Linked DNA regions of Caenorhabditis elegans. The protein of the gene in region 1 interacts with the protein of each later gene in a pairwise test. Each region holds a gene or a part of one and is shown on either strand. Other genes may lie near its edges. The genes, in order: nhr-43, nhr-273 and hlh-27.

Evidence for each region.
Region 2: the proteins of nhr-43 (region 1) and nhr-273 interact in a two-hybrid assay, tested with the Caenorhabditis elegans proteins (one large-scale study listed by BioGRID).
Region 3: the proteins of nhr-43 (region 1) and hlh-27 interact in a two-hybrid assay, tested with the Caenorhabditis elegans proteins (one large-scale study listed by BioGRID).

What each region holds. Positions count from the first base shown.
Region 1 is NC_003282.8:11,897,424-11,903,446, forward strand, and holds nhr-43 (Nuclear hormone receptor family member nhr-43), read left to right. Parts: upstream 1-2,236; 5' UTR 2,237-2,305; coding exon 2,306-2,364; intron 2,365-2,899; coding exon 2,900-3,029; intron 3,030-3,477; coding exon 3,478-3,571; intron 3,572-3,639; coding exon 3,640-3,711; intron 3,712-3,819; exon of another isoform or gene 3,820-3,950; intron 3,951-4,092; coding exon 4,093-4,342; intron 4,343-4,393; coding exon 4,394-4,798; intron 4,799-4,846; coding exon 4,847-5,114; intron 5,115-5,164; coding exon 5,165-5,236; 3' UTR 5,237-5,487; downstream 5,488-6,023. UniProt on the Caenorhabditis elegans protein: Ligand-activated transcription factor. Positively modulates expression of homeobox protein lin-39, perhaps by binding to the sequence motif 5'-TGAC-3' in regulatory regions of the lin-39 gene, acting in the embryo, and also in the vulval lineage.
Region 2 is NC_003280.10:4,433,605-4,437,795, forward strand, and holds nhr-273 (Nuclear Hormone Receptor family), read left to right. Parts: upstream 1-1,695; 5' UTR 1,696-1,774; coding exon 1,775-1,866; intron 1,867-1,910; coding exon 1,911-1,996; intron 1,997-2,234; coding exon 2,235-2,632; intron 2,633-2,677; coding exon 2,678-2,862; intron 2,863-2,957; coding exon 2,958-3,333; 3' UTR 3,334-3,394; downstream 3,395-4,191. Other genes in the region: nhr-109 (NR LBD domain-containing protein), read left to right, coding at 1-16, 249-616, 935-1,119, 1,171-1,543.
Region 3 is NC_003280.10:5,538,417-5,542,392, reverse strand, and holds hlh-27 (BHLH domain-containing protein), read left to right. Parts: upstream 1-2,179; 5' UTR 2,180-2,183; coding exon 2,184-2,341; intron 2,342-2,397; coding exon 2,398-2,628; intron 2,629-2,675; coding exon 2,676-3,093; 3' UTR 3,094-3,318; downstream 3,319-3,976. Other genes in the region: C17C3.24 (uncharacterized protein), read left to right, coding at 818-880, 1,306-1,389.

The DNA.
Region 1 (6,023 bases):
TTTTGTCGAGTACGCCACCTCTTTAGGTTATCGGTGTCTAGTTTGTTGTTTTCACGTGCATATTTAACTATCATTCTGGTCTTCCAATAGATTGCTACGTCTCTCGGTGTATTCTCTATAGTTCACCGAAACAACGTTATTTCTCATTCATCTATATAAAACAACTTCGTTTTGTTTCTGATGATTGATAAATCATCCACGTCTTTGATAGCAACAGACTCATTAAATCTACCGTAATCCGTGTTTGTTTTTCAACAGGAAAAAAAAGAGTTTTCTTGTTCTGCAAAGCCTCTCCTCGCTACTGGTTATGCTTCTAAGAATGAATCATAATTTTTAAGTAAAGAAAACTACTTTTGTTTTTGTTTTCCTCCTTTAACATACTGACATCATTATCCAATACTGTAGTTCCTCACACCGTAACCCATGTCTACCCTTGTTCATGAGACTACCACATGATAAAAAGTGGGTAACATGAGCGAAAACTGGAATGAAATGTTCTATGAAACAAATCATTAAATGATGCATTGTCTCTCGTTGTTCACTATCATTGAATTGTTCTGATTTGTGCCCGATACAATTGACGGGGTTAAACTGTTTTATAGTGCAAACTGTAGAGAAGTTCAAAATGTGCCAGGAATTTTTTTGATTTTTTTTGTTTATTTTTTCATCTATAATATAATTCTAAAACGACGCATTTTTAATAAACCTAGTTTTTTCCCAAAACACTCTGACTCCCTTCAAAAAAATCAAAGTCTACAATTTAACGGGAGATCGATTTTCGATAATTCCGGCATTTTCGGCATTTTGGGATTCGGCAATTGCACGCCCACCGGAAAAATTCGAACATTTAAAAAATTCATAACCAAACTTTCGCATTTTACAACATTGTTTGCATTATTCAGTACATTTTGCCCCCTTTTAGCCTGTCACAAAACTGCCTAGCTTCGTCAGCGTATATCTCAATTGTAGTTTGTTTTATCAAAAAGTTGTCAACTAGCAAAATATTTTTCATTTATTTTTCGATACGTTTGTAGTTAACTAATTTCTGGTATCTTTGAAATTAACTGAAATATATGCTCTCAAAGTAAAGTACTTGTGAGCAAGATGTGCAGTTTTGATATTATTTCTACTTAAAAATTCAAATTTACTTGTAAAAAAGCAATAGTCTTACAGTTATAATCAATTTAAAAAATAGTCTTTCACTGAATATTACTAATTGTAGAATAGTAAAGTATATATAGTCTGAAACAATTAAAATAGGTAGTCCGTGGTCATCAATCAGTACGATAGTTTTTATTTATTTTCTTATCACGAAATTTTATCAGAGATCCTATATATGAAAGTGAAAACGGGAATTTTTTGATGATAAGTCATAGACCTCCCAGTTTGAGGAGGCTACATATTCATTGACAATTGGAATTGGGCGATTTGCAAGTTTTGTTCATCGGGTCCACAAAAAGTGGTATGTATAGTGTGCTAGAACATTGAGAATCTACTTTTACTTTCATAAATTTCCCAAGAAATATTTTGCACGTATTTGTCAGTTGACAAAATTTTGATAAAATCAAAGAAAACCGAGGTATACATATGTTGTCAAAGACTCAAAGTAGAACATTTGGGATTTTATTTTCTATTTGTAATTTATTTTAACCACCAGATCCATCTTAATGATTACACTGATTCTTCCAGCCTGTCAAATTGCAACTGTACGTAGTCTTATTATTTTCCTACTACTATCACATGACGTGGCAAGGCCAGAGACTTCGTTCTTTTTTCTGCAATCGACTGTTCGATGCGCCGAGGCGCGCAGAGATTTTGATCCGCATCTCAAATTGTGTTGACTTCTCACTACAAATATTTGATTCCCATGCTTGTGACGTCTTCTGTCCCCGTCTCCCGCCCTCTCCATCCGATATAATCCCACCCACCGCGCGCTCCGCCTCCTTTTATTCCGCCTCCAGTGTCAGTTGCAACGTTGGTGGCACACAAGGCTTGTACAAACTTGCATAATTTGATATAAAATTTATTTTTCTCCTTTCTTCTTTTTCCGATCATCGAAACCACACAAGTTGTGGTGATAAGTGCTGATATGAGATAGTTTCCACTGTATCATCTCTCTCTCTCTCTCTCTCTCTCTCTCTCTTCATTTCTCCTCACTTCCTCGCCGAATCATACAGAGATCGGCGTTCTCGAAACCCATCGATGACGTCATTGTTCCTTACAAGCCAAAGATTACAGTACTCCTTCTCCTCAATATCTCCTCTTCATTCCTTCTGAATCGGTGCACCCGCCTGTTTCCTGTGTAATGATTAGCGGCCCATTTCTTCACTTTGATCCAACTGTTCCACTCCAGACAGTCATGATGTAAGTTCTCCTGAAAATATGAAATATCAAATAAATTTTCAAATATAAAAATTCATCAAATTTTTTAAATTGCTTCAAGTACCATTTTGCATTTATTCATTTGAAGCAGTGACGTGCGGCACATTTACAAAATCCCCGTTTTCTCATAGTTGTGGCAACGGTTTTTGTTGGAAATTTATATTAAAAATACAGAAATATCTGTACTTTTTGAAAATAACTTAAAATTCAATAAAAAGTTTTGAAAAGTTGCTCGAAAACTTCTTCAGAGTCGTAAGATATGTGCCGATCAGCATATTGATATTTGAGGCAGTTTTTAAACAGCTTCTTGAAACTTTTACTTGAATGTAAAGTTGTTTTCATAGAATACAAATAATTCTGTATATTTCTATAAAAAAACGATAAGAAATGGCAAACGGCATTTGTCGCGCACCACTGATTTGAAGTGTAACTTCCTGGCTAGGCGATATCCACCACAATGACCAAGACCTTTTTTTTTTCATAAAATCAATTAATGTTGTAATCTGAAATCTTTAAGCGGACACCCGGCGACGTCTCCTTTGTCGCTTCCATCATCATCGTCTAGTCCGACCGTTGCCGACCCATCGAACATTCATTGCCGAGTTTGCGAGAGACGATACGACGGTTCGCAGCACTTCGGAATTGATGTAAGTTAGTGAGGAACACGAGGAGAATAGGTTAGAGAGGAAAAACCTAAGCGGAGGGTCGAGAAAATTTGGTGCTGATCATCAGATATTCATCTTTTCCGAAAAAGACTTGTTATTGGGTAATGCCTAGATTGTTTGTGATAGCCACAAAGTTTTCTAGGTCATCAACTTTAGATAAAACAGTTATAGACAGATTTTAAGATAATTTGGAAATGTGAGGGGTTGCCAGAAATAGTCATGGCCGTTTTTCTTATCTATATCCTTATCAAGTGAATCCTAAAAATAACTTAATTTTAAAGTTCGATCAATCCAGTTCAAATTCATTTCTCGCTCGAGATTTCAAGCCGATTTCTCTGAATACCGGTTTTCCAAGCCTATCCAAAGATATTTCGTTGTGAAGCTTTTCCCTGCTTCTCGCTTGACAAGATGAACATCTATTGATTTTCAGATTTGCCGAGCATGTGCCGCATTCTTCCGACGAAGTGTAGCTGTCAAGAAGACATTCGTCTGTAGACGTGGAACCAACAAATGTGAACTTAACAGTGAGTATTTCTAGAGTAACCCCTTTCCTTGGCAAATATAGATCAGTGACAAACCATTATTTTTCTAGCAGTGTCTCGAAAAACCACATGCCAAAAGTGCCGATGGATGAGGTGTCTTCTTGTTGGTCTTAATGTTGATGGTGAGTAAATATAAAAATTGTTGATTAAATTGAAATATGCATTGTCTCCAAATCAGCATCTAACATCACGCCAATTCAATCCAAACTGGAAATCGGTTTTAACATTCATGATTCGCTGCGCGCTAGAAACAATCCAGCACGGAATGAGTTCATTAAAACAAGCGCGAGAGATAGACACATAAAGAGAATATCAGTGGATGTGTGATGCTGCTACCCGCAATCATTCTGGTCTTTCCGAAGAACGAATATGTTCATCGTTGCATCAGTGAAACAGACAAAATATGATTGTTGGTCACAGTTTCCACCCAGCGAAGGGGGAGGAAGTTGTTGTAATAGTAATAGAGGTCATGAGAATAACATGTGAAATTGTAAATATTTCAGCAGTAGTTGGCCGACGATCACCCGACCATGTCAAGACAACATCAAGAGACGAATCAGTTAAAAAGGAAGATGAAGAATCGGATACTGGCTCAGAGGGTAAATCATGTGAAGATATGGATGTATCCCATCCAATTGAACAATTCCAACAACAAATATCATTTTCTGTGCACCGCCCAATTCCAACAATTGGAAATCCAAATATCTACACAACAAGGGCATCTCTCATTAACAAAGTACTTATCAACTATAAGTGAGTTTATTGGAATTCCACAATTCAAATTTATAATTTTCGTTTTTTCAGTGAATTCACCAAATCCCGCCTAGACGTCGAGCTTTCTCTCAAGCACATGCAACAAGATTCCAAAGTATTCGGATCAACTGGCATTCCAATTGTTCCAGCAACTCGTGAAATCATCTCAGAAATCTACCAAAAACAATTCGGGCTTCTCCATATTTTCCTCAAAAACACTTTCGACGAATATGCCGAGTGTGATGTCCAGGAGCAAAAGAGAATTTGTGCTATGTTTTATCCAGTTCTCTGGGAAATCGAGTCCTGCTACTGGACCTACCGTAATATGCCAGTTCAACCTGAATACGAGACTTTGATGATGTGCACTCAAACTACTTACATCGACTCGAAAAATGTTAGATACTGGCTTGGAAATACCACTGGATTGAATGAATCTGATATTCAAGCAGTTGAAGCGTAAGTTTCTTTGAATTTGTTTCATATTCCCAATTAAACATTTTCCAGTCGTTTGGAGAATCTTCTAACTAAAGCAAGAAACTTGGTTCTCGAGCCAATGCACAAATTGATCATCAAAGAATTCGAATTCATTACCCTTTTGGCTCTCAACATCTGGGCTCCTCGCAATCATCGCGGCTGTGTTTCCGAAGATCGCGCCGAGCAAGTTCGTGATGCTCTTTTCGATGATCTACATTATTTGTATTGTGATGGCTTGAAAATCGACAAGTATTCAAGTAGAATGGGAGAAATGATGTGTCTTCATACAGAAGTTCAGGTAATTAAATTTAAATTCGAATATTTGATTTTAAAGCTCACAATTTTCAGAATGCCGATATGTCCTCCACCATCAAGAATATCCTATTTTCCGATCTCAACGCCTACTTGTACTCAATCTAATTTTGTTTCCCTAAGGTTTCTATCCTCCCGAATCCCCTTTTAATATCCTGTAAATACTTTCTTCAGTTTTCAAATTCTCAAATTTGCTTTCACTATCAGTTTAAACTCGAAGCTTTTGAACATTTTCATCCTTCCAAATGACTATCTCTATCAAAAAATTGTGATCGCGTTCTGATTGCCATAGCTGATCTTTAATATTGTACCGTATTGTTCACTATATTTCCTTACCTCATAATAAACAACGAAATTTGATGTTGTTTAATCCTGCAGATCAGTGGCTGGTTTTTAATGTAGAACACAATGATGAAACATTGCCGAATGACGTGGATGATCGGTACATTTTTGCATCACAAGCCTTTTTAACAAAACAAGAAAAAAATTTTGTGAACATTGATAAGAAATAATCACCTGTTATGATTCATTTGATTAATTGGAAATACATTTTTGATTCTTGTATGACCTGTGAACTTTGGATCAACATCAATAGCAAACTGTCGCTCTTATCATTCAATATAAAATACTATATTTTTACGTAGGCCTACCTGCTTTCAATGTGATAGGCAGGCGCGGAAACAACTCAGGCGGCCTATTATAAAATAGTGATGTATGCCCTACTGTAGTTATCATTACAACAAACTTTCGTCGCGGCTCACAGTTGCTTGTAGATCTATCCTTATTGTATTGCACCACTCTGCAAAATATCTCCAAATTTATATCTCCGCTCAATCTCTCCAAAACGAATTTCTAAGTTGTCCAGGATCGTAACATGGAGTAGCTGAATGAACGC
Region 2 (4,191 bases), on another chromosome or scaffold:
TGTGATGTTACTGTTAGTGAGTAAAAATTAATTGACCTGTTTTGAGCCAAAATTTTGGACTATGTTATAAACTCAAAGGCATTCTGTAAAAAAAAACTTCAAAAAAATAAAACATTTTCACTAAGGTCGGGCTTACAAGCCTACATAAGGCTCAGTCTAAGCCTCTAAGCCTAGGCCTAAGCCAGGCAGACAGGCAAGTCGGCTTGTTCTCTAAGCCCAATTGAAATTATCTATCTTGATTTGTTTAGACATCAGATGCATGTGCCGGGCATGTCGACTTACCAAATGTATCGAAGTTGGAATGAACCCTGTAGGAGTTCGGCAGAAGCCTGGTAGTTTCCGGAAATCAAAGGAACTCATCTCTCCCAGTTCATCAAATCATGACGAGTTCAGTCGAATGCCAATACTTTCAAAAATGAAATTGAACTATGAAAATATGAGAAATGCCAGGAAAGCATTGCACAATGAAGTTGGAGAAAATGTATTTGAGGAGAAGATTCCAAAAGAAATAAATTATAAAGAATCAGTTCAGCAGGGAATGAAGGATTATACGCTGATGCCTGAATGGGTGTCCTCTTGTTTTGATGAGTTTCGAACGTTATCCGCTGATCAGAAAGTGAGTCGGAAAACTTAAATGGCTATTTTAACACATCAAATGTTTCCCTATACCTTGAGGCAAAAGGTAGCCATGTAGGTAGGCGAAAGGTGCGTAGGTAGGCCCTCAGAAATGTGGCAGACATGTAGGTAGGACATTTGCTAAGGCATGCAGCAGATCTAAATATAGCGGTGCCTTACAGCCGTACCTACCTGCTTGTCTACCTATTTCATATGCCTACGTAAAATGTCAAAACATTTTTGAGCAAATTGAACAATAATGAGGCTAAAACTAGACATGTTAAAAATACTTCTATTTTTGAATTTTCCTTTTTTGCAGAATATCTTGTTCCGCAACTCCTACATTCCATTTTTCATGATGGAAACTGCATTTTTAAGTCATATCAACAATATGCCGGACTCTGTCATTTTCCCATCTGGAGACTATTGTGACATGAAAAACTTGGAGCGATACTATAATTCTACAAATTTTGAAAAAAAAATCAGCACGGAAGATATTGAAAAGTATTAGAAAAGAGATGGTTAAACTTAACGTTTTTTTTTTCAAATTTTCAGCTTGTTCAAGCCGTTCTACGACAATTACAAGAGATCTTTGCTCCTCCCAATGATGAATCTTCAAGTTGACATCTATGAATTTCTCACACTTTTTACACTTCTCCACTGGGATACTGGCCTTGTTGAGATCACCGATGAATGTCTGGAAATTGGCACAAAAGTCAAAGCAGAAGTATTCAAGGAGCTGGATTTCTATTTGACAAATGTGAAGAAAGTCGCAGAGCCATCAGTTAGAATAGGGACAATTGTCAACTTACTTCCAGCAGTTCATAAAAGCGTACGGAGAATACAGGATGACATGGAGATGACTAAAGTCTTTAATATTTTTTCGGCGCCCAATGAGTTTTTTGATCTTGTTACTGGCAATTTCTGAGAATAAAAGAAACAAAATTCTTGTTTTATTTGTTTTACTAATTCAACTTACAAAGGAATACGTTTCAAATGAATGCAATATTGCCTCGTAATTTTTTTCTTTTCCGCCTCTCACTATTTATCAACAGAAAACCATATTTTATCTTTCTATCTCCATTATCAATCATTATTCTGCACTTTGTGTGTTCATAAACTATTGATTAATTTAAAAGAAAAAAATTAAATTGCTAGAATGGGACCACGACAAAAAGATAAGGATCAATCGAAATGCTCAATTTGCCGAGAACCTGGAGATGGGTTCCACTTTGGAGCAGAAGCTTGCAGGTACTTATTTATTTATAGGTCAGACTTTAAAACCTAGATTTCAGAGCTTGCGCAGCATTTTTCCGTCGAAGTGTGTCCCAGAGTAAAACATATTTGTGTCAAGGGAATAACGATTGCGATGTTACTGTTAGTGAGTATTTTTAAACTTCTGTAAATATTAACATTTAATTTTTAAAGTACAAAAAATAACATATTAATCAATTCCTTACACAGGCATGTTGTACCTTTGTAAAAGCAAAAGAAAATGTAACATATTTTTTGGGAAAAAAGGGACCGCCTGAAAAAAATCACGGTCGTTTTTTTGAAGTTGTTTGGACCAAACTTTGGATTAGTTTAATTATTAAAAATTTAATATAAATAAAATTCAGATATTCGATGTATGTGCCGTGCGTGCCGTTATGTCAAATGCATTGAGGTTGGAATGAATCCTGTCGGAGTTCAACAGAAACCAAGACTACCCAAAAACCGCAAAGAAGTTTCAATTGATTTACTCTCGAGCCCCCGAACGTCCAACTCATTGATGCTCGAACTACCACTTACGGGTCAAATGCCAATTCTCTCAAAAATCCGAGCAAGTTACCAAACAATGTGCAATGCTCGGATAGCGCTTCACAAGGCTGAAGATAAAACTGTATTTGAAAAGAGAACTCCAAAGGCAGTAAATTACAAAGAAGCGGTGAAGCAGGGTATGAAGGATGTCACGTTGGCTTCTGATTGGGTCTCATGGAGCTTTGATGAATTTTCCAACTTGCCGATTGATCAGAAGGTAGGTTTTTAGGTTTTAGCAGTTAAAGTGGATTGTTTTTTTCAGAGAATTTTGTTCCACAACTCGTACACCGCATTTTTCATTATGGAAAGTGGATTTTCGAGTCATTTGAACAATACACCGGATGCAATAACATTCCCATCTGGGGACTATATTGACACAAATGATTTGAATTCATTTTACAATGGTACAGATTCTGATAAGCAAATTTCCAGTGAAGATATTAATAGGTGAGTAGGAAAAAACTCGATCTGGAATATGTCGTTAGAATATTCCAACTATTCCTGAAAAAATCAGTTATGTACAACAAATCTAAAAAATTTAGACTCTTCAAGCCATCCTATGAGCGCTTCAAAAAGTCAGTGATCTTGCCAATGATGACTCTTCAAATGGATATAATAGAATATCTTGCTCTCTTCACAATGTTACTTTGGGATACTGGACTTATCGAATTGAGCGATGAATGCATTAAAATTGGCGATAAGATCAAAACTCAAGTATTGAAAGAACTCGATTTTTATATGAGGAATGTAAAAAAAGTCGAAGAGCCTCTTGTGAGAATTGGAACTCTTGTGAATATTCTACCAGATGTGCATAAAAGTGTTCGTAGGATACAGGATGATTTGGAAATGACAAAAGTTTTCAACTTGTATGCGCCGTCCGATGAATTTTATGATCTCGTGATGGGAAATTATAATTGATATCATATTTTAAGTTTTAACTAATTTTTACTCATTTTACGATAAATGTATAATATATTGACAATCTGCTTAAAAGACGGCCTACGCCTACCTGAAGGAGTGCCTAAAGCCAAAATAGACGTGAAAATTTGTTTCAACTCACTTTAGTGTACTTTGCTTCTGAGTACAGAAAATAGATGGTAGGTAGGTAGAAGGTAGGCATATATATAGTCAGATTTTACCAATTCTCCATTGACATTGAATGTATTTAAATCGAGCTGAAAATCGAAAATTTGAAAAAATTCTCTGAAAAAATGAGAGTATAGGGAAAGATGTTCAGTGGACCAAATAACCGCTTAAACTCGCTAAACTGAGTATCTTCAAACTGGCGTATCTCAAAAAAAAGAAATATTTTTTATTTTTATTACATTAATTATTATTTGAATACACCAACTATTTGTTGAGTTACACAGAGTCAAAGCCATTTTTCCAAAATTCACAAAAAATTTTGAGAACTCTTTTATTGTATCCTTTATAACTCAACATTCATTGAATTTCAAAAGATAAATTTTGTTAAATAGTAAATGAAAAATATTTTTCCACATTTTATCAGTTTTGTTTTTTGATATTTTTATGTATTGTCAAGTTACAGACCGTTTTTCAAAAAAATCAAATTTCCGCCATAAAACTCTTCATATACAACGTATCGGCTTGAAATTTTGAGAAATGATCATTTTTTTGAGGTCTCTACAATGTCCTAAAAAATCTTTCAAAAAACACTGTCCATCTCCAAAATCGTCCTTTGCTCCGAAAAATGAAATGGGACTTTTGCTTTTCGAAAAATGGGCCAAAAAATCAAATTGCGATTTTTGAGTCGAA
Region 3 (3,976 bases), on another chromosome or scaffold:
AGATCTTGTTATCTCTATTAACAATTGCGATTTTTAAGTTACTTCAGAGTAACCAAAACGAGTTCAGGTTATTTTAAAAATAATGGATGGCGTAAAACAAAATTTTTAGAACCACTTTTTGAACCTAACAAAGTATTGGAAGTATTACCAACAAAAAAAGTTTCAGAACTCATTTCCCTAAAACAAAGGACAAAAACATTCAGGCCAAAGGCAACCCTGTATACAGAAATAAGACAGAAATTATCATCGTTGCAACGGGGGGAGACAACAAAAAATCAGAATTGAGAAAGAGCCATGCACCATGAGTCAGGGATTTTTCGTTATTAATAGTTTTTGATAAAATTTGTCCCTTTTTGTTGAAGCTGAGGAGGCTTATTGATTTGAAAGTTTGTTCACATAACCTTTTAGTTGGCAATTGGTACACTTTGGAACACTGAAAACGGAAATATCAGTTTCAGTGATTTTGATTGAAATTGAATACTAATTTCCTCACCAATTACATTCAATCACTTGACTTGACTTCGCTATTAATTTATTGCTCATAGTTTCAGATCTTACCTTCACATCTGCTACAAAATGGACCGCAGAAAGCTTCAAAAAGAGGCAAGAAGTGAAATGAAAAAGGTGAGTATTTCAATCTCGTTCTGAAATTCAACTCATCTTTTATATTCAGACCGCCAATGGCGTCGACCGTGCCACATATAACCGAGCAAAGGCTCTTTTGGAGATAATCCGGAAGGTTAGAAATATACATTTATTCGTCATCACATTACATTTCTAGAATGCCTAGGACCGTTTCAAGACATCTGTGAGAATTATGGAAACCCGCCTTCAGGAAGAGATTGCCACAAATGATCTGGCTTCCTCCACGATCTCCAAGGTGAGTCATGATAATTTTGACTCGGCAAGTTTCCAAAAATTGTCTTCCGTCGTTGTACGATGAAATTTATGGCTTAATATATTAAAGAATAAAAAATAAAAAATTGTAATTTGGGAGACAGATGTGAGTATATTTAAGGTCATAGCTACTGCCATAGGATTACTGTAGCCAATATTCCAGTAGCTGAACTATTCCACGGGCAATCTCCGTTGTTATCATGATACTGTATGATAATTGTAATAAAACTAAAAATCGTTTCTGAGATCATGAGCGAAGATCAAATGAATTTATTGGCGGGTTATTATAAGGCTACTGTCGTGATACTGTAGTGATACTGTTGCCGAAATTCATATCATTGGAGCAAACAGGGAACACAATTTATATTATAAATCGTCCTATCAACTTTCAAACTTATGTCGTTTCAGTCACGCCATGCCATTTTTGCGTCCATAATCGAAGAGCTCAAATCAATTTCCTCTCACTTTTGCATTCCAGCTCTTCCAATATGATTGTTCTCCATATTTATTCTGTTGACCACTGTCAATTCAAAATAGATATCTTCTTATATAAAAATTATGTTCGAAGAAACTGTTGCAAATCAATCTTGTTTAGAATTACTGGCAAAATAATTTCAGTTGTTTTCTCCTATTTTATTTCTTTTCGAGATATTTCTGTTTAAAATGTTGTTCATCCGGTACAGTTGATACTACTATAAACTTATAGAATAAATTAACACAGTGCCAATATCCTAATTCACAGTCTCAGCCGGAATTTCCCAGGCAGTACCCAATCGATATCCAGTCGTCTAGTTTCGCATGGTCCCAAGACAAAACTGGAGATGTCCAGCCTCGTTCTCATGAGAACCTCACTGATGAACCATGGGAACCCATGATGGGGACTGTAAAAATAGAGATTTCAGAATAATTCCCATGGCTCCAAACGCTTGATACAAAGCTCCACCCTCTGAACAATAATGGAACTATAAAAGGTAACCATTTATTCATTGTTCATTTACTTTCTTGGTGGATCACTGGTCTGCTGGTTTAGTATACTTTTTGATAATTGTAACATCAGGAAAGTGTACTGATTTTGATCAATTACTTTTAAAGCATTCAGTGAACTGTATACTTCTAGAAAAACAGCACGAGTTATCTCACTAAACTAAATCAATTTGTGCTGCTTTCTTGGTCTCATTTTTCTGTTTTGTCACAATTATTCCTTTTATTTAACGGCTCATCTTGAAATTTTATAAATTCTAGATTTCTTCTTGATTTTAAAAAGATTAAAACTTATCAAATTTCAGATGCCAAAAGTTATCCCATCTTCAATGAGCGATTATCGTTCCGTCCCATACAATCAAACTCCAAAATCAGGATCTGAACGGAAAAGAAGAAATATTACAAACGAGTTGATTAACGAATGCAAGACGATTGTTCAAAAATCAGAAGAAGAACATATATCGTAAGTTTAAATACTCTGTTAGCTTAAAATAGTTATTAAACTAATTCATTTTTTAGACAAGAAGTAGTTCTCTTCCGAATTGTGAAACTTGTGACTGGAGTTAATCTGGAATCTAATTTCTCATCGAATGACCTCTCCGAATCTACAAGACGGAAGTTTGATACTGAATCCGAAAGAAGAAAAGTGAAGACTGAACGTGAAAAGATTCGAAGAAAGAAACAAGATGACTGTTATGCTGAATTGAAATTCTTCATTTTGAACAAACAAATGGGAAGTTACGAGCAACGGTAAGAGTTTCATTATGGCTAATAAAAATTCAAAAAATTATTTTCAGATTAAAACTTGAACGGATCACAATTCTAGAAATCATCATTGATTACATTAAACACAATTCCGATCTTCTGTATCCAGAAACAATTCCCCAAATACTTCCTCTTTTAGCTGGAAAATCAACTGCTACTTGTGAGAACAAAGAGAATGAAAAGCCAAAAACACGAATGGAAGTGAAGGATCTCTTCCCAAGATTGACGTTTCAAGAAGTTCAAGAATCCCCAACATCTACTTCTCCATTGCTCACATTTCCATGTATTCCAATGATCCCAACTACTCAGTTCAATGTCTTGTCAAACTACAACACCGTTCCATCAATATTTTCTGCTCCCCTCCGATTCATTCTTCCATCACTTCAAATCTTAACACCAGAAACTAGTGACGAGGAAGAAAATGAAGAAACCGTCGATATTAGTAACTAGTCTATCAAGTTCTTCCAGATCTTACAATTAGTTTCTGAGCAATTTTTCGAAAATCTTCATTGTCTATATTGCGTTTTTGATTCATTTTTTTATCTTTCTATGGCCAATATTCCCGAACTTTTTCATCCCATCGCGTCGCAATCTATTTTTGAAGATTTTTTACTACTCACGTGATAGTCTTGTCTAAATTATTCTGTTTGAAAATGAATGTTTATTCGGTAAAATTTGTTAGCCAGAATACAAGCAAGACAAGTATGTATAATCAAAGTTCCATTAGTCCACACCAAATTCCATCTCCCAGTCATACGGAAACTCTTCAATGTCCTTGTCTAGCATCACTTTTTGCAGTGTTGTATAGATCATCTCATAATCGGGCTCCTTGAAGAACGAAAGACTGTCGATATAGCTGGAAATGGAAAATTACGAATAAATCAGCTTTGGTAGAGACTCACTTCATAATCAAGCGAAATTCATCTGGGCAGCCAGCAAGGAATTGGCCCATGATCGGTTGGAAGCGGGAATTCTTCTTCATCGCACCAATCTCGCCAATCTCATTTACATTTTTCCAGGGAAGAGCTGCATTGGTGAAATCGACGAGCATGTAGAACCTAGAAAAACACATTTTCTCAAATAAAAACTATTATTCTTATTTTCAATTCTAAGTGATAACCCAATCTGGCCTTCTGGCATCTTTACAGAATATATCACATAAATGACTAGTTCTTAAATTGATTAAACTAGCCAGCTTTCCAAATCGTCCTTCAGTCCATGTTCCGCCGTATTATGTGATGCAAGCGGTGCATATCGAGGGCTTCCACGAAATGGCACAGTTTTTCTTGGCTCGAGCATCAAATTTTCGCGATCTACATACTTTCGGCAACAT